4 linked regions of the Neodiprion lecontei genome follow. The protein of the gene in region 4 binds, or shares a complex with, the protein of the main gene of each other region. Links are inferred from orthologs where the notes say so. Each region holds a gene or a part of one and is shown on either strand. Other genes may lie near its edges. The genes, in order: unc-112-related protein, integrin beta-PS, LIM and senescent cell antigen-like-containing domain protein 1 and basement membrane-specific heparan sulfate proteoglycan core protein.

Evidence for each region.
Region 1: basement membrane-specific heparan sulfate proteoglycan core protein (region 4) and unc-112-related protein share a complex: the UniProt entries of both Caenorhabditis elegans proteins name them as parts of the integrin containing attachment complex. The link is inferred for Neodiprion lecontei from reciprocal best matches to the Caenorhabditis elegans genes unc-52 and unc-112.
Region 2: basement membrane-specific heparan sulfate proteoglycan core protein (region 4) and integrin beta-PS share a complex: the UniProt entries of both Caenorhabditis elegans proteins name them as parts of the integrin containing attachment complex. The link is inferred for Neodiprion lecontei from reciprocal best matches to the Caenorhabditis elegans genes unc-52 and pat-3.
Region 3: basement membrane-specific heparan sulfate proteoglycan core protein (region 4) and LIM and senescent cell antigen-like-containing domain protein 1 share a complex: the UniProt entries of both Caenorhabditis elegans proteins name them as parts of the integrin containing attachment complex. The link is inferred for Neodiprion lecontei from reciprocal best matches to the Caenorhabditis elegans genes unc-52 and unc-97.

Annotation. Positions count from the first base shown.
Region 1 is NC_060263.1:391,950-396,863, reverse strand, and holds the start of unc-112-related protein, read right to left. Parts: upstream 3,029-4,914; coding exon 2,890-3,028; intron 2,812-2,889; exon of another isoform or gene 2,485-2,811; intron 2,393-2,484; exon of another isoform or gene 1,540-2,392; intron 1-1,539. UniProt on the Caenorhabditis elegans protein: Component of an integrin containing attachment complex, which is required for muscle development and maintenance. Probable regulator of cell-extracellular matrix adhesion. Required during initial muscle assembly to form dense bodies and M-lines.
Region 2 is NC_060261.1:40,087,445-40,092,367, forward strand, and holds the start of integrin beta-PS, read right to left. Parts: upstream 3,051-4,923; 5' UTR 2,899-3,050; intron 840-2,898; 5' UTR 838-839; coding exon 667-837; intron 556-666; coding exon 252-555; intron 112-251; coding exon 1-111. UniProt on the Caenorhabditis elegans protein: Integrin alpha ina-1/beta pat-3 is a receptor for laminin. Integrin alpha pat-2/beta pat-3 recognizes the sequence R-G-D in its ligands. Plays a role in cell migration, morphogenesis and probably in cell-cell interactions.
Region 3 is NC_060263.1:9,168,652-9,175,125, reverse strand, and holds LIM and senescent cell antigen-like-containing domain protein 1, read right to left. Parts: upstream 4,612-6,474; 5' UTR 3,483-4,611; coding exon 3,202-3,482; intron 3,009-3,201; coding exon 2,895-3,008; intron 2,701-2,894; coding exon 2,588-2,700; intron 2,401-2,587; coding exon 2,208-2,400; intron 2,090-2,207; coding exon 1,948-2,089; intron 1,662-1,947; coding exon 1,403-1,661; intron 760-1,402; coding exon 560-759; 3' UTR 528-559; downstream 1-527. UniProt on the Caenorhabditis elegans protein: Component of an integrin containing attachment complex, which is required for muscle development and maintenance. Probably function in adherens junction.
Region 4 is NC_060263.1:40,499,053-40,503,813, forward strand, and holds the start of basement membrane-specific heparan sulfate proteoglycan core protein, read right to left. Parts: upstream 3,048-4,761; 5' UTR 2,597-3,047; coding exon 2,510-2,596; intron 1-2,509. UniProt on the Caenorhabditis elegans protein: Component of an integrin containing attachment complex, which is required for muscle development and maintenance. Probable structural role in myofilament assembly and/or attachment of the myofilament lattice to the cell membrane.

The sequences.
Region 1 (4,914 bases), about 40 Mb from region 4:
GGACGTCGTTGTTTATACGCCGGGTTTGACAAACTCTTATTACCATACAATGCAGTTACGGGTCCCTAATTCTTACAATCAGCCATATGACGACGAGAGAGACTCTCTGCCTCCCCCCCACTGCTCGCGATAATTCGTACAATCATGCATTTACATTGGCCTTTAATACGCTATTTATATGTATAAAGAAATTACATCCGGCGGGAGGATTGCATGTGTATATGACGTACTACATGCCTGGGTGCGAGTGTGTAAGTATGTTTCGAGAGAAGAACGGTACAACGGAAAGCGCTGCAACAGAACCGTGACACATATCCTTTATTACGTGCATAGCGCGCAGTTGAAGAAAGTATTACAGTATGTACGATATTCTGTAAGCGCATCGACGCATAAATATGAAGGCGAGATGAACATTCGGAGGGATTTGACGAAATTGTGGTTTGAAAAGCACCTGCAGTTATACGCGACACAATATATACATAACGCGTAACCTGTCGAGGAACGCGCGCCACGCGTGTATACGTATACGCATGTATATCTGTAGGGTAGATTGTACGGGAGATCGGAGATAGAGATTATATCGCCCGTCGGGATTTCTACCTGCCGCTCTTCTTCTCGACGACCCCACGTGCATATAAGCCTCGTAACCCCTGAACCCCGAATACATCAAAGCCGATTCAAAGTATCACACACGAGTTCACACGGTGCGTAATGTTTGTTTCATTCGAAATACCGAGTACAGCCGACGAGTACGCTCTGCGTGCATATCGTTAGAAGAGTGCGATATTACGCAAAATGCGGATAGGAAGGGTTGTTTAAGGGGATGCCCTGGTCGGTTTCGACGTTGGACGTATATATCTCCGAGTATCGAAGTCCACGTATCTCAAACGCGAAAAAAGGGTTTAATAAGCCCCATTCGTTACACACGATACTGAACAAAAACACTCCAACGCATTTTCATTTAGACGCAGAAATAAAGTACTGGCACGATTTCCATGAAATCCCAATAGTAGATTCGTAGATTTCATGCCATTTCTTTATTTATTCGTCAGATGAAAACTCATCGGAGTGTTTCTGTTCAGAATTGTGCAGAAAATGGGGTAGTTTAGCCCTATTTCGCGTTTGAGATACGTGTACTTTGATACTTGAAGCTAGGTAGGACAACGTTGAAATCCACTGGGTCACCCCCTTGAGGAGCGATGAAGTTTTTACCACAAAGCCTGGCACGAGCACGGGTCTATTATCCAATATTATCTCCGTGTCGCAAGGTGTTAGTTTAAAATAAACGTGAAAGGGCGGAGGCGCGGGATGCCGTTGCATGCACACCGCACAGTATGTGCGTGCGTACGGGCATGTACGAGCTACATTGATATGTATATATATTATATACACATACATATATACACACAGATCTGGAGGAAGGGGAGGTGGTGCGTTTATAACGCAAGCCGGCGCGGCGTGCGGCCGCCTAGACAAACAACCAACGTTTCGTTTCTCCTCCTCGACTCGACTCGACTCGACTCTACGCCACGCCGAAAATACACCTTTGATGATGCCTGACGTTCGGTTCGGTCGGCCTGACTGCTTGCTTGCTTGCTTCGCTGCCTGCCTGTCTTACCGCCGATAAAATACGCGCGATCTCCCGGTTAATATCATCGTCCGATTCGGTTGTGCGTTAAACCCTGTCACAAGTCACGTAGCGCAAAACGACGGTCGCATGTGGGTTTTACTCGTTTTACTCCCAAGCATGTACGTACACGGTTTGAGACTGAGACGAGGAGACGGCGGTCAGTTACTACAGCGAATGGGTTTATTGAAAGTGTGCAATTGGCCGCGCCAACGGAGCGACGAGACGACGATGAGAACGGGCCGATTCAATTCGAGATGATGAGGCTGAAGTCTGTAACGTTAACGTAACGCGAAAGATCTGGGAAAAAAATCGTCGTTGCACAGTTTTAGAATGACTTTTCAAATAGTAAGCTTTTCGAAAATAAGAGTACATGTTTTGTTTATCGTGGTTTACTAAATTGCAGACATTACTAATAAATGGTGCAAAGTAACGATTTTTCCTTAACATGCATCGTTACAGTAACGTTACCAACTTCACGCTCATTATTCGAGGCGGGTCTTCTTCCGTAACGAAGCTCGTAATCGCGGGGGATCAGCTCGTCTCCTTGTGCTATTTTCGAGGCCGTAGGTTCATGACGCGATTTCTGAACCGAGTTTCGCGAGGTTAAAACTGTTCTTCTTCTTCTTCTTCTTCTGCTTCTTCTTCTTCTTCTTCTTCGAGAAAGCAAGAGAGGAGGGGATAGAGAGTGGGAGATTAAAGGCCGAAGATTAACGCCGGTCAACAGTAAAAATCAAGCCAGCGTAGACAAGAGCCGCGCTACCTGTACGGTCTCCGCAATGCGTCTCGCTCTTCCTCCTTTTTCTTCTTCTTCTCCTTCTTATTTTTCTTTTTCCATTTCCTTTTCTTCTTTGCAGAAGTTCGAAGAGCCCCGCAACGCAGGAACGGCGGCTCCAGCCATCCAGCGGCTGTCCGACCAAGAGTCAGAAGAAACAAGAAAACCGAGACGGCGGCGGCCTCGAGCGTCGCCTTATGTATAGTACACGCAACGACGTGTGTAAATATCGATGCGTCAGCGTTAATCTTGGAATAACTTCGAATGAACGAAGCGCGGCTGATGCTTGCACGGAAGCTACAGCCGGACCGAAGGAGTGCGGATCGAGTAAACACGCGGTGAAGAGACGGTGACGGGTGATCGGATCGTGATGCCGATTTTCACTTTTCGATACACAGGCATATGTGTGGTACGGATATATAGGAATATGGATATATATATATATATATATATAGAAATGCCTGTCGCTAATTGGCAATCAACTCACCAAGGTCTTCGACGAGACGAAGCATGACGCCACCGATGTGAAGTTCCCCCTTAACCCGGAGGCTTCTCTCGACCTGGAGATCGGTCACGAAGACGCGCAGCACCCAGCTGCCGTCGACCTCGTGTCCGTCGGAGTACATCCTGTTTAGCTGACGATGGCCTGCGAGCCGAGATATATACCTGCGAGCGAGCGAGCGAGTGAGCGATTCCGGATTTCAACGTTCGACGCACTTTGCCCGGCTGCCTGCCTTCTTCTCTTCCCTCTTCCCTCTTCCTCTGAGCCTTTGTTACGCTCTTCGAATCAAATCTCGCACTATAATCATGGCTGGAATTTCTCTTCGTGTAAAACTTTATCGAACGACGAGAACAAAACAAACGAAAAAAAAAAATAAAGAACAAACTTTTGCAATACCTTTGCGCGCGGTTTTATTTTATTTGCCTTCGGAAGGACGAAAATTCTATCCGCCTTGGAACGCGCGATCTTAACTCGACACCGACACACCGGATCTACGTTACTATATATCTTCAGCCTTTTTCCACGGCTTATCGACAAAAGTTTTCTTATCTCCCACTCGAGCGACCGTTACGCGACTCGACGACAAACCAGAATACTCCGGACGGCTCAGCGGTCTACGCCGTACAGAGCCATCCGTGCTTGTCCGTCCCGGTCCCCCCCTTCAGCCGCTTCGCCCAACATCCACGACCGACTTCCGTTAGCTCCGCATCCCGTTTTCGTTCTTGTTCATTGGTCGCCCACCTCGTGGCGCTGCGAGACGCATCTGATTGTAAGATCGAGTCCTACCTTACCGCACGCGGTAACTTGACGTTTGGTTACCCACGCCGTGGCGCTATTTTTGAATTCCGTACCTGAGTAATCGGGAAAACAGAGAACCGTGTTAAAATTTCGTACAACTATAAACGGTGTATAATATGAAAAATAATTATTACAAGATTTGCAATACGGTGTTTCTACTAACGAACCTTCCGATTAAGAACTACGATCGATTAATTGTTGCTTGTAATTCCTGCCAACCTATCGTACGGACTGCTGCAGCGTCGAAAAATGAAACTGCTTAGCGGGAGATAGTCGGATAAATACGAAACCTCGAAAATATGTACTTGGTATATGTACTTTACCCTTGCGAATTCACAGAATTCGCGACATTTTCTTTATTTCTGCGTCAAATGAAAATGTATCGGAGTGTTTATATTCAGAACTGCGTATAGAATGGGGTTGTTAAGCCCGTCTTCGCGTTTGAGGTACGTGGACTTTGATATTTGGAGATATATAAGTCGGCGTCGAAACCAATCAGGGCAACCCCTTAATATTATTAGATGCTTCAAAAATTTGTGCGGAGCATCGTTTGCAAATCTCAAATTTACAAAACTGACTGATTAATTTCGGAAACAACTATTTTTGGAAATACTTAAGGTTTTCCTGCGGGTTTTATAATAAAGCACTTGATCACAAGGGTCGATAAATTCATTTTCCCGTTCCATTCTCATTCGTGGACGAGGAGCGGAAATTTAATTATTTTCGCATTGACAGTACTGGGAAATAAATCTAACATCCGATCCCTTGTGTAATCAGCATCTAACAACACGCATGCCTTTTCCTTTCATACTGTATGCAGAGTCTGCGATACTATAGATATATAATAAATATTCATGACACAAGTACTTTTATACAGAGTAAACTAGTAAACATTTATGCAATAAAAAGTTTCAAGTTCCAAATTAATTTTCATCGAAAGGGCGGCGTTGTAGAATACTTGAATAATCTGCTCCCCTTACGCTAATACAGCTATAAATGAATTGAGTCTGCATCAACATTTCTAAATAATAAAACCGTATTCAGTTTGAAATTGTAGAAATAGGAGCGGGTAGCGCATAGTATTTCGAATTCCTATCAATAATTCATTGAAACGTGACCTTGTAGTGGCATTAACGTCGTTCTGTCCTTTCCTGTCCGCCAAAACATAGAAATCAAATCAAGTATCTGTCGCGGACGCTTGGCAGGTATTAT
Region 2 (4,923 bases), on a different chromosome or scaffold from region 4:
ACAACTTCTCTTTATCATCCTCCATAGACTTGCTCAAGTCCATGAGGTAGTAAAGATCAACTGGATAATCCTCGGCTTGAGAGTATGAAAAAGACATAGTATGCACCTCATCTAAAGCAATGGAAAAGACGAATGAAGTAATTATTGCATATAAGAATAAAATTCACTGGTAAAAAATATTGTTAATAATTCAGGAAATAGCAAAATTGTCAACAATTAGCAATAATTGGAATTTGAAAAATCTCACTCACTTATCCTAAGGGTCAAATCGACTTCTTGAGGCCAGATTTGAATCGCCTCCTGTCTCCTACTACCACTGCTAGAACTCGTATGATTAGAGCTAGAGCTTGAGGAAGACGATGAGGAAGACGAAGAAGAGGATGAACTTTGCTCAAATTCACTACCACCTGCTACAGATGAATAACCACCCTTTGTTAATTCCGCGTGCCGAATCACATCATAAACATTATTCGGATACCGCGTATATTTCTTTGGGCACGTAGCATATATTTTTGTGTTTATGTTTGGCAAAAAACACCTCATCTCCGAAAATTTCTGTGAACATAGGAATACATATTTTACATATACTTACAGATGTAACAACAGGGTAGCCCATTCCGTTACATAGGGTTTTTTGTTAACATAGAAAAAAATTATCCAACTTACAGGAGCAGCGCACCAAGCACAATGTGGAGTTTGTATACATTCGTGGCAGGTTTGCTTGCTGATACAGGGATTCATTCCAGTGAGTCTTTCAGGTAGAGGGTAGTCAGCTTTGACAGCAACAAAAACTATCGCTGTGACAAGGGCCAGGGCCCATTCTAAGCTGCCAAACATCCCTGTAGATCAATGGATATGTGTTACATTCTGCATATTTCACTGCAACCGAACAAGTATGAATTCATACCTCAACAAATTCAGAACCGCTGTACTGCACAGTTTATTGAAAAGGATTGCCCTTATTCAATGCAATCGCAAAATAAAAAACCAATATAAAAGTATTAAGCAAAGGAAATTTGAATCTAATGCCGCATCTGTTAATTATGATGAAATTGAAAATCCTACTAAAATAAAAAGGCAACTTCATTGACACAATAGTACACAATGGTACTAAACATTACTATGCAACAAATTACACCTTTCGATATCAATACTGAAGAGTCAAATTTTTTAAAATTTATTTACAAGCGTGTGAATTCCTGAATACAGTCTTGTAACAAAGTTAGCAGAATATTAATTCTAAATAAATAGACGTTATCTTCTGACATTCAGTTGCCCTACGTATTCCTGGTTAGCCATATGTGGTTATACAGAAAGCCTTATAAGGATATCGTGTGACAGTTGAAAATTAACATGAAAACAGATTATGCTGTCTACTTGGAATAATAATTGAAAGAAACTGGTAGATATATGTGAAACTAAGAGAGAAATAATACGCATTCTAGTAAAGTGTAAATTACTTTGTACAGCAAGAGGATAATGAAATTAAGTATAAAATAAAAGTACAAGAAATGTAAAATTTAAGATGAAATGAATTCCAATGAATCAGCTCGATGATAAGTACACTGACCATTGAAAAAACCCACCACAATAAATGTACAATGAAACATTATCCGTTTTATTTTGCAAAGTACCGGCATCGTGCATTGCATAAAGTAATCAAAATTGACATATTTAAGTAAAAATTAATAATACCAATTAATGTTATCATTGTAGCTAAATATAATACTTCTTTGGTCAGTTAGGATTCTTATTTCTACACCCTCACATTTAGCAACAGGAGTCTATTATTAAGCTGCTGAGTCAGATTTTCTTAGTAAGCCAAAGGTAAGACATCATACTTTTACTTGGTAATATCACATGCTGTGATGATGGTATCTGGTTGGTCATATTCGTACGTGAATGATTATTGGCATGAAATCATCCGATATACATGATTCAATGTCAATAAATTTGATTAAAAATTACTTTTCCTCATCCCTAGATTACGGAAAAATCACTGAAAATTTTCAATTGTAACTGAATACCAAAATAATACGTTATACTGCTACGTTTAAGAACACAAGCTGGAAACATGCATACTTATCTCAAGAGCAAAAGTGCAAACAAGAAAGTAAGATAATGGATTCACTATATAGAACTGAAACATTTTCTTACAAACTTGTTTTTGGATATCACATTTTTTTACCAAACAAATGGTCGCATGAATGGCGTATACAACATTTTTGCATCCATATTAGCAAATTTTATAAACAAGAGCGACATCTGATTGTATAATAATTAATAATAGGTTGAGAATATTGACAACAAGCAAAACAATGTATCTAATTTGTAAACGGGTGTAGCGATTGTTCGGTACTAATGAAAACGTGAAATTTTATTTCAGTAATTGTTTAATTATCTAATTAAATTTAAGAGATGGATCCGTTTGACTTGCAGGGTCGAGGAAATTTTTTAAATCAAATGTTTCTTAGATTTGATCGAAGGATTGATATTTCCTCACTACTTCTTGTGACGCACATTAATAACAAGAAGCGCTTTCGTTTCGTAGAACGTTGTCATAAATGGTATTTGTACTTGTGAAATGCGCGAGTGAGGTGCGGCCGAAAACCAGTTCTCCCACGCTATATTTGTCCCTTAAGAATAAGGTTTTTGCCCAGTAAATCGAAGGGTGATAACGGTGATATTTTTGGGACAAAGATTTGTTCCACTTGCAGATCATTTAGGTTTGAGAACACGTCTCGATTACCCATCCATTAATGCCGTCATCTCTATATTTACAAGACACCGCATTAGCATGAAAAAGGTTACGGAGATGAGAATCCGTGAACCATAAATTTGATATACGTATTTTTAACTCGGTAAGGCCGGATATGAAATTTGATATACATTTCTTACTTTCTAGATTTGAAGGTGATTATCGGCTGTCCTTATAACATCACAAACTCCGAAGAAATAATTTCACAACTTTGGATCACCATAAAAGGCAACCCCACACCGCCACGGAATAACGACTCAATAACGAGCCGTTCGTTCAACGTCGGGTAGACGACTGGTCACTAGAGTTGGACAAAATATCAGAAGAGTTATTTCGAATTGAGCATATGCGAGTATTGTTATATCGATGAACTCACATCCGTCCCGTATGCACCCGAGAAAGACCCGAGATTATCCGATTATTCACGATAACGCGCTCGTTACATCTCGCCGAATGCACTTTCCAAATAAGCGGGAAATTCAAATAAGCTTATTCAGCTCTAATGATGATGTCTAGTGTACTAATTCGGTACGCGACTATACGACTATTTTTGCGCCCAACCTCGCCGACTGTTCACAGGAGTATGTATGTTGTATAATATTTCTCCAATCCTGCCTTATATGTTGATTACTAAGTATCTGTACCACAACCGCGTATCCGCTAGTTTCCGGTGGGAAATCAGCGACGAATTAGTCATCGTTCAATGATGATGCGATCATTCAGCTGCGGCTACAAAATCTAAATAATCTTGAAACATAATACAACTTTGCATGCATATAAGGTTCGTGTTTCGCAAGTAAGCTGCAAATGTTACGTATTCGGATTTTAATTATGCGCCTTCAGTGCACCCAGAAACCCTATTTGCAAACAATTTATATACGCACTTACTAAATTTTACATCGTGTATATCAGTATATCGAAAAAACTGAACTTCACAGAAACAGAACTGCTTAATGTAGAGTTTATAATTAGTTTTTTAAATCGCAAATTTTCCTTATAAGTTTTTGAAACAGTGACTGACAATCACGCAGGTACGGTGTTACTCGATAGTTTTTCTTATCTACAATTCGCATCCCGCAACCACAGTTGATATTATTATTTATATACATATAGGAGCAGGGTCTAAAATTAATTTATGCCATAAGCTAGCAAGTCTGTGCCCGAAGTTCTGAAAATACTGGACGTAATGTAACCTTACAATTCAGTCGTATTTGAAATCCGGAAATGGAATTGTGTAAAAATACGTTGCCCGCCATATTGATATATTTTGACAGCCTGTGTTGACAGCTTCATTTGCGAGGGAAACAACGCATGTCAAGAAATCAAAATATCCTGATAAAATCCTATAGTTCATTTATTGTACAAATATAGTTTCTACATGTATCATGAGTGACACACTTTCCTCTTATTCCGGCAGCTATGTACAATACGCACGCCAATTCGACGAGGAAAAAACAGCAAAGCTTTATCGGAACATAAAGAAGGTTAGCTTTGACAACTTGAACTGCACCGTCATAAAAAAAAACTCATAACTCAAACTGTATTTTCAACTATCCTTTTCTTGGTTCTCAGACGCTTCAAGAGGTGCAACAAATCGCCAGCGAGGTAAATTGTAATTATAAAGAACTCGAAGAGAACATGAACCGTGCAGCGCGACTCATCACAGCAATCCAAATCTGTAAAAGGCGAGAGGCTGAAGCGACGGCATTGACCGAAACAAATGACTAAAACTGTAATAAAAGGAATTTATTCAATTAATAAATAATCAAATTCCTATTCTTGATGGCCGTGGTTTTTTTTTTGTTCTTATTTGATTTTCGCGGGTCAAATCGTAATATCTCGCTTCAAAACGCAAGCGATGACTAATAAAAAGAAAAAGAAAAAAAATCCCTAGATTCTGTCTGCTACATCCTGCTGTCAAACCTGTCATCGTAATTACACACCACATTATACGCAGAAGTGTACGATTTATCGGAAATTAGACTGAATAATACCCGAATACCAATGAAAAATCAAAACTGGAGGTGTGGTTTGTGATTATCTGTTGATCTATCTACTTTGGAATGCCGAAATTCAATCGTAGAGGGTAAGTCGAGAGCTTTGAAAATCTATACCAACGTCAGCAAATTCGAAATATCGAATATTCTATTTTTATTCTTCACGAG
Region 3 (6,474 bases), about 31 Mb from region 4:
AGTGATGAAAATATTCACAGATCAGCATTATAATGTATATTGTGTGGATACTGTATACGTGTAAAATTTCTGTTTGTATAATTATTTGTGTAGTATATTATGATGCATTAATAACTCGTCAGTCAAATGTAAGATAATTACTGCGAATTATGATAAGCGATACTTTTTCTATTCCTAAGCTAGGTGTAAGGCACGAACATTTGAGAATGCTTCAATATTAGATCGAAATGGTTGTTCATCCTCTAGGTATACTTGGAAAAATCCGAATATCAGAATGCGAACAGTACATATCGAATAATTAGAAGATGCGCGTTAGTTGGCCAAGTAATATTTTTCCATTACGTGATAAATATTTACTTAAAAATAAAGTCAGTTATATAAAATATTTTTGTAGTCTTGGGGACAAATTTAATCAATGTTACGTTTTACTTTGATTACTTCTTCAAAGAATGATCTTTGTCTAATGTAATTTTAAACGGCAATTGCTAAGCACAATAAATATATAAACATACATGTACTTTTTTTTAAACACATCTGGTAAAAGTATTTTATTATTTGTTTAGGCAGGTATTTTTTTTGGATTTAAATCGTACATACGACGCATACGCCTTTTCAATTCCTGGGGAAATTTCTCGTAGCATTTCTTGCAAGCGGGTTTTAAGTCAAATTCGAAGAATTTTGTCTTTTGGTTCATCTTTTGGTCACAAAATGCGCAAGCAAAATGATGTACGCACCATGCTTTGTTTAATGCCGTAAAAACTGCAAATAAAATGGAATAAAGAATGATTTGTAAAAAACTTACAACTTAATTTTAATTATAAACATATGAGGCTTGTCGAATTATAAATGTAATTCTGTTGCTGCGAATTTTATTAAACTATGATGAAAGTAAACTGCAGCAATTTACTAATCAGAAGATTAACATAAATATAAATTATTGTGACATTTATTCGAATAATACTCCTCGTAAAGTTATGGTTCAATTTGTTATTTAGGTATAATAATATAGTACTAGACTCTCGTAATTTGCAATAAGAAAAAGTGCTTTCACTAATTTGCAAGAAGACAAAGTTTGATAGTAATTATTCTACTATTTTGCAACGAATTGTAAGTGAAATTCAATTGTCTAATACTTTTCTAGTATTTGATTGGCAAAAATTTAATTGCTGGTAATTATTGGAAAGTATCCACTGCAGACTAGTTGAAAATTTTACTGGAAATTAGAACAAGGTGCTATCTACTAAATGTTATAAACGATAGGCACTCATGCTGAAGTAATCCAATCAAAGAAAGATTGGGTCAATAAATAAGGAAACGACTTAGGAGTAATCAAAGAATCAAAGTGACCACTGTATGATATTCGAAATCTTTACCAAGTTGTAAAAAAACAATAAAAACTTACCATCTCCAGCAATTACTTGGTTGCAAACAAAACATAGGTTTCCAAAGAGCTGGTGATAATGAGTCTCACAGTAAGCAAGGCCCTTTTTCTCGTAGTGACGATGACCTAAGAATGGCTTCTCGCACTTTGCACAAACAAAGTGTTCCACGTGCCAATGTTTTCCCAAGGCAGTGACAACTCTTTCTTCTATCGGACGCCGGCAAGCTCCGCAGATCGGTATTCCCATTTTGTCGTGACATCTCAGACAATATAGTTCATTCTGTAAAATACATGATGTATGCATTTATATCAAGCAGGTATGTTAATGTTGTAGCATCTTTAAATCAGGAAATTAAAAGTAGGCATTTATCTCAGCAGATAGCTCTAATGTTATAATTGATGTAAAAAATATGAAAACAAATGAGACATGCGCCAGGCCGACTTTGAAGGGCTTTATTTTGTTGTCAGTCAATATAGGGTAGTGACAACATACGAGTATCGATATGAAACACAGCTGTTCAGCTGTGGCTTACGTATGAAAAGAAAAAAATTCAATGCCAAAATACCATCTCATTAGCCGCAAATCCAGGCCTGGACCTAACTTCTCTGGCATCAGCATTCAACTCAATCCCGCAAGCCGTGCAGTTGAAATGGTAGGGATGATATACTTCACCACGGAAACGCAGCGGTTTGTCGTCGATTATTCCACTATAGATAGAAATATTATTTAGTCAATGATTAGTAGAAAATTATACTACAATATACATATTCTAGTTATTTTTAAACTATCTGAATAACAAGAAAATTCTAAAAAATAAATACTTACTGGCATTGATGGCAGATATGCTTTCCAAGAGCCCCAGCTTTTATTCGAGCGTTACAGGTATGACACAATGCTCTTCCTTGGCATTTCATGAAACCAGTCTCTGCTAGTTCACCGCTACACTCCTCACAACGGAAGCAGCCAGGATGCCAGTTAGCATTCATGGCTTTGATTACTCTTCCAATGACAAATTCACCTGAAATTGAATTTGCCTCTAGAATGGATCTAGTTGAATGTTTATCTGAACGAAACTCAAGGAACTGTTTTCAATAATGTTAGTCGTATCACTCTTGACTTGACGATCCAGGAACAAGTGGCCGAACTAACGGAAAATATCTGACATATAACAAAACCTTATAATGAATCTTATGTATACAACTTACCACACTTGCCACAGCAAGGGGCGAATAGAACATGAAAATCATGTTCGCAATACTTTCTTCCTTCAAACTCATAGAAAATACCCTCGGGAAAAGGGCGAAAGCACTGTGCACAACTGTGAAAAGGAAAATCTGTATATATTATATCAAGAATCAAAATAGTTTGTGATCATTATATGTGAATTGATCGTTTGGAAAAATTCTCAATTTAAATAATTCTATCATAACTTTGCTGGAGACTAAAACTTCAACCATTGATAAACATTCCGGTGGTTTTATAGTTTCAATTCCATTCCAAAGTGTTACTCACACAAAACATTGCGGATGCCACAATTCTCCGCGAGAATTGACAATCTTCTCGTGCGGCTCGAATCCCTCGCGACAGCGGGAGCAGAACATGTCATCCAGAGACATCCCTGTGACTCTGTAATAAAATGAATGATATTAATGATGGAGAGAAATTTGCTGTCTTGGACATATAACATCATTCTGTATCAAAGTTTAATGGACCAATGATGTCACTGAATTTGGTTACAGAATATTCAGTGATTGCATGAAGTTGACGATTAAAATCAGTTAATAGAATAGTTAATGAGTATAATTCTTTTTCTATATACCCTGTCTTGTTTGTTGTTTGTTTTTTAAGGTCATTAGTGTCACAGTAAGCATTTTTAAAATTCCTTGGCGGGAGTTTAGGAGGTTTATCAAAACCCTTCCATTCAGCCAATTCTTCGTAGTCATATACAAAAGTAGATTGATTGCTGTTCGAGTCATTGGTAATTTCTTTCTCAACTAAATTTTCGCGGGATTGTGCACGCCTATTATATAATTTGCTGTGATCTAATGACTGTATTGATATAGACGTAGGAAATGGAAGAGTATCACTGTTTCGGGCCATTCTGAAGTCTTAAAAATTCAATGTAGCACATCGAAACTTCGTAATTGACAATAAAAAAACTTTAATCAAACCACAATTTAGCATTCAAGCTTTTCCATCCTTATTAAACACCATTCTTTTTACTTAACCAAAGAACGATTCAGTTGTTCGGGTATGTATGGATTGATATGTTATCTCGTAGTCGTCTCTGTTTGATATAATAGATAAAACTTCAGGGTAGATAAGAAGTGGATCGTCAGCTTTTCTAATACAGGTGCCAAATATTATTCCTCAAATAGAATCTGTTTTAGTTATACACCTACTTGCCACTCGGTGTAATAATTAATGCTGATTAAGCACAGCTGACTAACGGGCTTCAATATAATCATCATGTGAGTAATGCAATAGAATTGAGTTACATCACACAGCAGAAAAGTATATTCGGCGTCAAACAGTAAAATTGTAAAGCGTATCGAAGGTTAAAAAATCAAGTTGTTTCTGTTTAATTCTAAAATATGTTTGTACAGTTGACATGTTATTATAAAAACAATATGAATACCCAATCGTGATGAAATGCGCATAGTTTAAAACACATGAACAATGTCAAATAATACTTCTGAATATAAAATACCATTAACCTTCGATGAAATAAGTTTCTCTGGAGTAAATGAGACTTTGTAAGCTATCCAAGGTTACGAAATGATTAACAAACGGTTAAATATTCCATTGACATATATTCATTTGTTATGAGAACTTCGGATTTTAACGACCACTTGGATTCATGATCAAGCTGGATCAATGGATCGGTACTTTGGTAACATGAATCAGAACTGCATCTGACGCGGCAAATGTAAATATATCAATTAATATCTGGAGCTATCGTGTACTGAAATGTTCAAGTAGCACAGATTAATAAGTTCATACAATTTTATTAATACAACAATGAATGGGAGTGTACAGAATAATACATAAATTCCATGCCGAGATATCGGAGTAAAAAATGTTACGAAACATTTGGGTGGATTCAACATGTCATGAAGCAATTTTATTAGGGATTTATGAAAAGTTACTACAAAATGTGAATAAGGCGTGTTCACTTGATGTGTAATTCATTTTTTAAATTGATTTAAGCGATATATATGTAATTAAACTGGATGTGATAAGGTTTAGTGTATGTTAAGTCTATGAAATTGGATGAAGTCAATGCTAAAAATAGGCAACACAGCATTGCTTACCCTGGCATAATTTGTTTGGTGTGATACTTGAAAGAAGAAGATAATATATGGATTAGAAACTGAGGTGGGACTGGAGAATTTGGCTCCAGCACCCTGACACTCGTTATATTCGCCTCTTCGTTGTTTCTGCAATTAGAACGGGATTCACGGATACACAAAACTGCTCAGACGATTTTTACTTCTCGCACATGATCTCACATTATACGTATTATACACTGCGGTACGCGTCCCACCCAGTCGTTTTACATAAACGTACACTGCCATTCTTATCATCTAGCAACAATCGCGATTTGCGTATTCAAAGAAATATTTGTGAAACTACGTAATCCACGAAAAATATCTGGCTTACAAATATGTTTGTACACTACAGGTTATACCTATAAGCGGTATATAGATATTGGGTTACTTACCTAGTAGATAGTATACAAACAGACAACTTATAGTAACGATTAATTCGTTGTCATTAGCGAAGACTGGAGAAGCTTACACGCCCAATTCAGTAAAAATAATTATTTTCCGTTCTACCCATTCAGCCAATGAGACGACGGCGAATTAACTCTATCCTTTTAAAGATGTATATGTATGTATGGATAATCTGTGGGCGGATGTGGTGGCGAGATTTCGTGATTTCGTACTTTACTTCACGACTCCCAACAACTTACGACACCGATTTTCTTCGTATAATGCAGTTATAGTATAGGTATGTACAGCAGCGGTGTATGCTGAAACGAATCGAAGAACAGCTAACCTTACCCCCTAGCGCTTAGTGCTGGTTTTAAAGGTGTATGTAATCACGCGGCACATACACATGGAAGCAGTTTAACTATTTTTGAAATTCGACACATGCCCGCGCTCGCCATCTGACCAAGTAATATGAACTGTACAAATCTGCTGAACAAAGTAATAGCTGCTCAAAATGGAAAAGGTTACGATTAAGTGGAAAAAGATCCGGATTACGAAGACTTTTGCCGTTTGTCGTATAATTTCTGATTCAAATTATAGCACGATGAACCTCGGCAAAGTGATTTCTAAATATTTCTCAAATTATATTGTTATTTACTATAATGATATTATTATTTTTGTATCATATCGTTAATTTGTAACCTGAAATTCAAATAAATTAATAAGTAAAAATTTGCTGCCGCAACTATAACATATATGTCACCACGGGGTGAGAAATATAGTTAATCATTTTAAATATATACGTAGTCACATGTTTCAATTTGTTTCACCGTAATCGTTGACTGAAGATTGTTGCTGAAGACTGCTAAGGACAGTCAGCTGAATGGAGTATTTTGAACTGGAGCATAGCTCGAAGCAACTAGGCGAGGGATGCTAAGGGAATACTTAAGTACAGAAAGTTCTTACAGTTACCGACCCAAATAACATTGTAATCCTCGAATTCAAGAACGTCCGGTTTAACGGACGTTCATGAGCTCGGGTAAGTCCCATAAGCGAATTGGTAAGTGTAGGGCACTGCCATTACCCTCGCACTAGTTGTGCCCTTTTAGTTGCTTTAGAAGACTATTCGTAGCTGACTGGCTGTTTTTAGTAAACTTCAATGCTGTGATCTACGAGTCATTTAACGAGAAAATGAGAAACAGGGTATCCTGGTCGATTTCGACGTTGATCTCCAAATATCGAAGTCCACGTATCTCAAACACAAGAAAGGGATTAACCACCCCATTCTATACACTATTCTGAATAAGAACACCCCAATACATTTTCATTTAATGCGTAAATGAAGAAAGAGCATGGATTATACGAAACTATTGGGA
Region 4 (4,761 bases):
TGCTGTTTATGAGGACGTTAAGCATATTTAGATCAAGGTAAGTACAAGAGAAAAAGATTGAACAGGAATTTTGAAGAAAGTAGAAAAAGATGTCACAAGTCTCTTAAGTGTTGTTTAAAACTAATGCCATTAATTTTATACTTAAAAAGTTTTACATTTGATATATTTTTTTTTTTTTATAAACATTGTTCAAAAATTTATAAATATGCGTATCTTGCATAAGAATAAATCTCGATACGGTGTAAAAAAAACTTTCGCTACATTTTAATTCAGCATATCTAAATACCTAGAAAAAAGCATTATTACTATTCGGGAGATATTAAAAGTTCTATTCCGCAGGCCTGTTATCTTACCGTTGATTACGAAAAAGCTACGCTTGATGGAACCTTATTTTAGCGAACGAAACTTCAACGGTATAGGATATTTCGAGGAACGAAATATGAGAGCGAACTCTTTTTCTTACCTATTTTATATTTGAAATCGGTATTGATTACACGCAGACTAAGATCGAAAATAAAACCATAAATAAGCAGCTCAATTCCTCAATTTCCAAATATCATCGTTCACGATCTTCAAGATTCTTAAAATAGCATAAAATCAGATGAAAATATCGGATCCAGATGAACGAATTATGCAATAACACTGCGAAATACTTAATGAGGAAGACCAGATGTGGCGTGTATGCGATATGCTATCACGTCTCTGAGTCGAGTAATTTCCGTGGGCCAATTTTCTGCCCATCATGGAAAGTGTCAAATTTTGACGATCCGTCGTATTTCGGGCAAATTAATTAAGGTACATTATTAGGTATCAGACGAAGAAGAAACCTACGCTGCCTACGAGTTAACATGACACCAACCGAGCGACATACTTCCAATCGAGGTAAAAGTACTGCTAAACAAATTGCGGTTCACAACAATCAGTTGTGAACCGCGTTCTCCGCAAAGGTATCGTTTCAATACCGTCGGTTTTAGGTACTGGGCACATGTTGATACAGATGTTCACGGCTGCCACGCAATAGGCGTCTCCATGTTGTTTGGGAGGTAAATCCCGAGCTACCTGTCAATCGACCTCGATATCCAGAGGTTCACCAGAAATGCCGGACGCACGTGCTACGATGCACGCGAGAATAAGACTTCCCCATTCCTTCTGTTCCTACATGATTTTCCGGGTGGGGGTAGAGATTCACAGAGATCCATAAAATTCAAGGGTCATAGGGCCAAGATTTATTTTTATTTATAGTATTTTTCAAATCCATAATGTCGAAATGTGAAAAGATCAAAGTACAGAACCAAACCACGATGCAGAAACGTCAGAATGACTTGGAATACAGCAGAATTTTCTGCACATACTTCGAAATCATTGTACAAAATAGATTTTCGCGTTTTAGAGAAACCGATGCGGTAATCTTTCTGATTTCTAACATTTTTATCCCCACCTTGCTTTTCCGTTCTCATTAAGTAGAAGGTAACCACGCGTCGCAACGATCTTTCATCTCCGAACTATCATCGCGAACTTGTTTCGACGCTTTGTCAGTGTCTCCGGGAATTTTCGCACTTTGCTACTTCCGGTCGGAGACCAGGGCTGATCCATCAGCGACAGCCGCAGGATGATCGGATGAAGGAAGCCTTAATTCTGTTCAAACTCGAGGGTGCGTCGAACTTGATGCAGTCCGAGACGTAGAAACGGATACCCCTGAGTGTGTTACACTTCAATTGCTACGACGGATAATCCGAGTTCTAGACTGTATGTGTCGATACCCTTCACGTTACCGTCGCGGCTCGTACAACGGAGGCCATTTGCAGACGTGTAATCGCAACAAGGATTTCTGCGATTCCCAAATCACAATCGCTCGGATCCGTCATCGATAAAACGAAAGCACGTGTGATCGATAGCCCCGCAGATGTAACCGCATCGTTATCGTCCGACCTAATAAGCGGCCCAGTTACCTCCTTCCCCTTTCCTCCTATTTTCTATCGTACGATTATATTTTTAGTTCCTTTTCGTCGTGATATATTGTAAAGTGATTATACAGCGGGAATTGCGATACGGTTACGTTAAAAGAAATGGTGCGGATACTCGTACTATTCAATTCTTCATTTTCTCAATCGGTTTCAACCTGTTTCCAACATCTCTTTGCCTGCACTTTCGGATGGAAATAGAGCGAGACGAGTACTTGGTGGGTGATCGATTATCAAGCTCTGGTATTTAACCGATACCTGTGTATGCGCAATTTGACAAATTTGAAAGAACAATTTATTATCCATACGGATATGGTTCTCAGGAACGAAATGTGATTGAATGAAAACGTTGACTGTCGGGTTTAAGAAGGACCCGGCACTTTTCGAGGTAAATCGTGGGGAGGGAAATACAGTATAAAACTGATTATCGATTTTCTAAAACCAGACTTACAATTCTTGTAGAATCATCGCGATGACGGTATATATACCTATATACACATACATCCATCAAGTTCTATATCGATGAGAAACGTGTGTAATGAACTCACCTCTTCGAAGGATGCCGAAGCGAAGGAAGCGGCGAGTAGCACTGCGAGAAGAGCACTCCTGAGTAAAACACTGCCGTTGGTGGTCATCTCGAAAGGGCGAATTACCGATCGCCGAAAAGCGAACGGTTCGACAGCCTGGTCAAAGGTGTTATTTCTGTTTTTTTTTTTTTTATATCTATTACCGCGACAGCAGTACGAAAAACCGTCGATGGAAACCCGCGCGATGATTTCGAACCGTCAGTCGAAACTTTTCAGCGACAACGGTTCATGGTTGACGTATTTTCCTGTTTACTGGTCGTTCCTTCGTAACCGTTTTCAAATTTACCGCGCCTCCTAATCTACCCGCCGTCTCTACCTTCTCTCTCTCTCTCTCTCTCTCTCCACCCAGCTCCGTAACAACCCCGCGAATTTTTCGCTGCAGACCTGATCGAATCCGACTCCTTAGAACGAATCTCTCTACCGCAGACGCTGCTCGTCGTCACGCTCTGCAGCTTCAACGATCACACCACACCGTACCGGCGTTGGGTAGCGTCTGAGAGCCGTGCGCGCCGGCTAAGATAAAACATTTTCAAAAGCCCCGTGTGGTGGTTCCCTCTCCACCCGTTTCGCCTCCCCCCCCCCCCCCCCTTGCGGCGAACCGCCGAGGTTCAGGTTCGGCTGTGGCGCCCCCTCCTTCGTCCATCCCCCCTCCCCCCCCCCCCCCCCCTTCCTGCGCCACCTCGCAAGCATCGCTTTTCGCTCCAGGAGCCGCCCCGCCGCTCCGTTCGGCAGCCGCACACTCGACGACGCGACGGTCCGATCCGATCTGTTCTGAACGCTCGGTGCGCGCGTTGCCGGTTCAGCCGGTTACCGGTCAAGGTGCCGGACGATCCTCTTCTGTCCGGACCAGTTTACGCCAAACGGTTTAGCACCGACTCAACGGGTTCGTTACCCTTCGATCGTTCGATTTTCGCAACGTTGCGACGGATTGAATATCGAGATTTTTTGGAAACGCTTTCACGGAGCATTCAACAAATTGTTACGTTCGTAAGCTGCGATGCTGGGTATTCTAGAAATTCAACGAGCAAAAAGTTGCTGAAATTATGAGACACAATTTCGATATCGATTTTATGAAAAATGTTTTAGACTTGTTCAATTTCACGACCTGATGATTTTTTTTTTTTTTTTTGTTCTCGCCCTTTGAAAAGTCGTTACTTAGAAATTTTCCGAAGTGGATTTCTTTTTTGTTTTTTCTTTTTTCGATGAATGTCCAATTTTTAATTGCTACTTGTTGAGCCGAATCGATGTCAGATCGGTATTGCGGAATTACATGTTTTACGGTACCAACGTGATAAGGAAGCAAAAACTGTCACAGTGGGATTGTAGCGAAAATTGATTTCAGGATAAAATCACTCGTCACATGCAGAGTGAAATCGAAAGAATACACAAAAATTTTCGGTATCTTGAGGCAATTCGATGTAAAAAATGGTTACCTGTCCTCTCTTTTGAAAATTATGTTTTACTTCTTCGAAAAAATCACCGTAGTTCACGAATGTGTTAATTTGATAAACACGCAACGTGCGACCAATTCGTAATGAAATTATCAGCAAGTACTGCGGATATTTAACTGTGGAACCTGCTTAAAATCACTATTTCAAAATTCATATCGGAATAGATTCCAGCATTCCGTTTCGGAAATGGATATCTTTGGATTCACACGTGTGATTTACGCCCACCAATCTTGATCCACCTATAAATTGTCATCAATTGTCAAGTTTTATAAATCATCGTCGATTATCTATTCATCTTTGAACTGCGCCGTGAACTATTTCAAGTGTCAAGCTCTGAATGTCTCAAATTTATAACTGTGCAAAATAATAAAAAATAAAAAAAGATCAAATATAAACTATAACTATAAATCGCCGCTCAATCGAGGCGATAAAATGTTCGTGAAGGTTCAATCGTAGAGTACCACTATAAAAATAACTGCAAGAGCAATACGCAAACTTCGGGAATTGTTTCCGAATTAATGACAATTGTAGAGTTTGGAACGATAGTCTGACCGCTATTTTAATCCGCTTACCATTATTCATACATTTATTTATTTACTTCTTCATCTCGATGGAATGCCACTCTGTATAGTGAAATCGTATAGATGATATTCATAGATATATCGCCATGTGTATTATACAGAAGCTGGCTGCCGCATTGAACGGCGAGCGTGAAAACCTATACGGCAGGCATTTAATCACCTACTTGACTGTGGGGCTAAT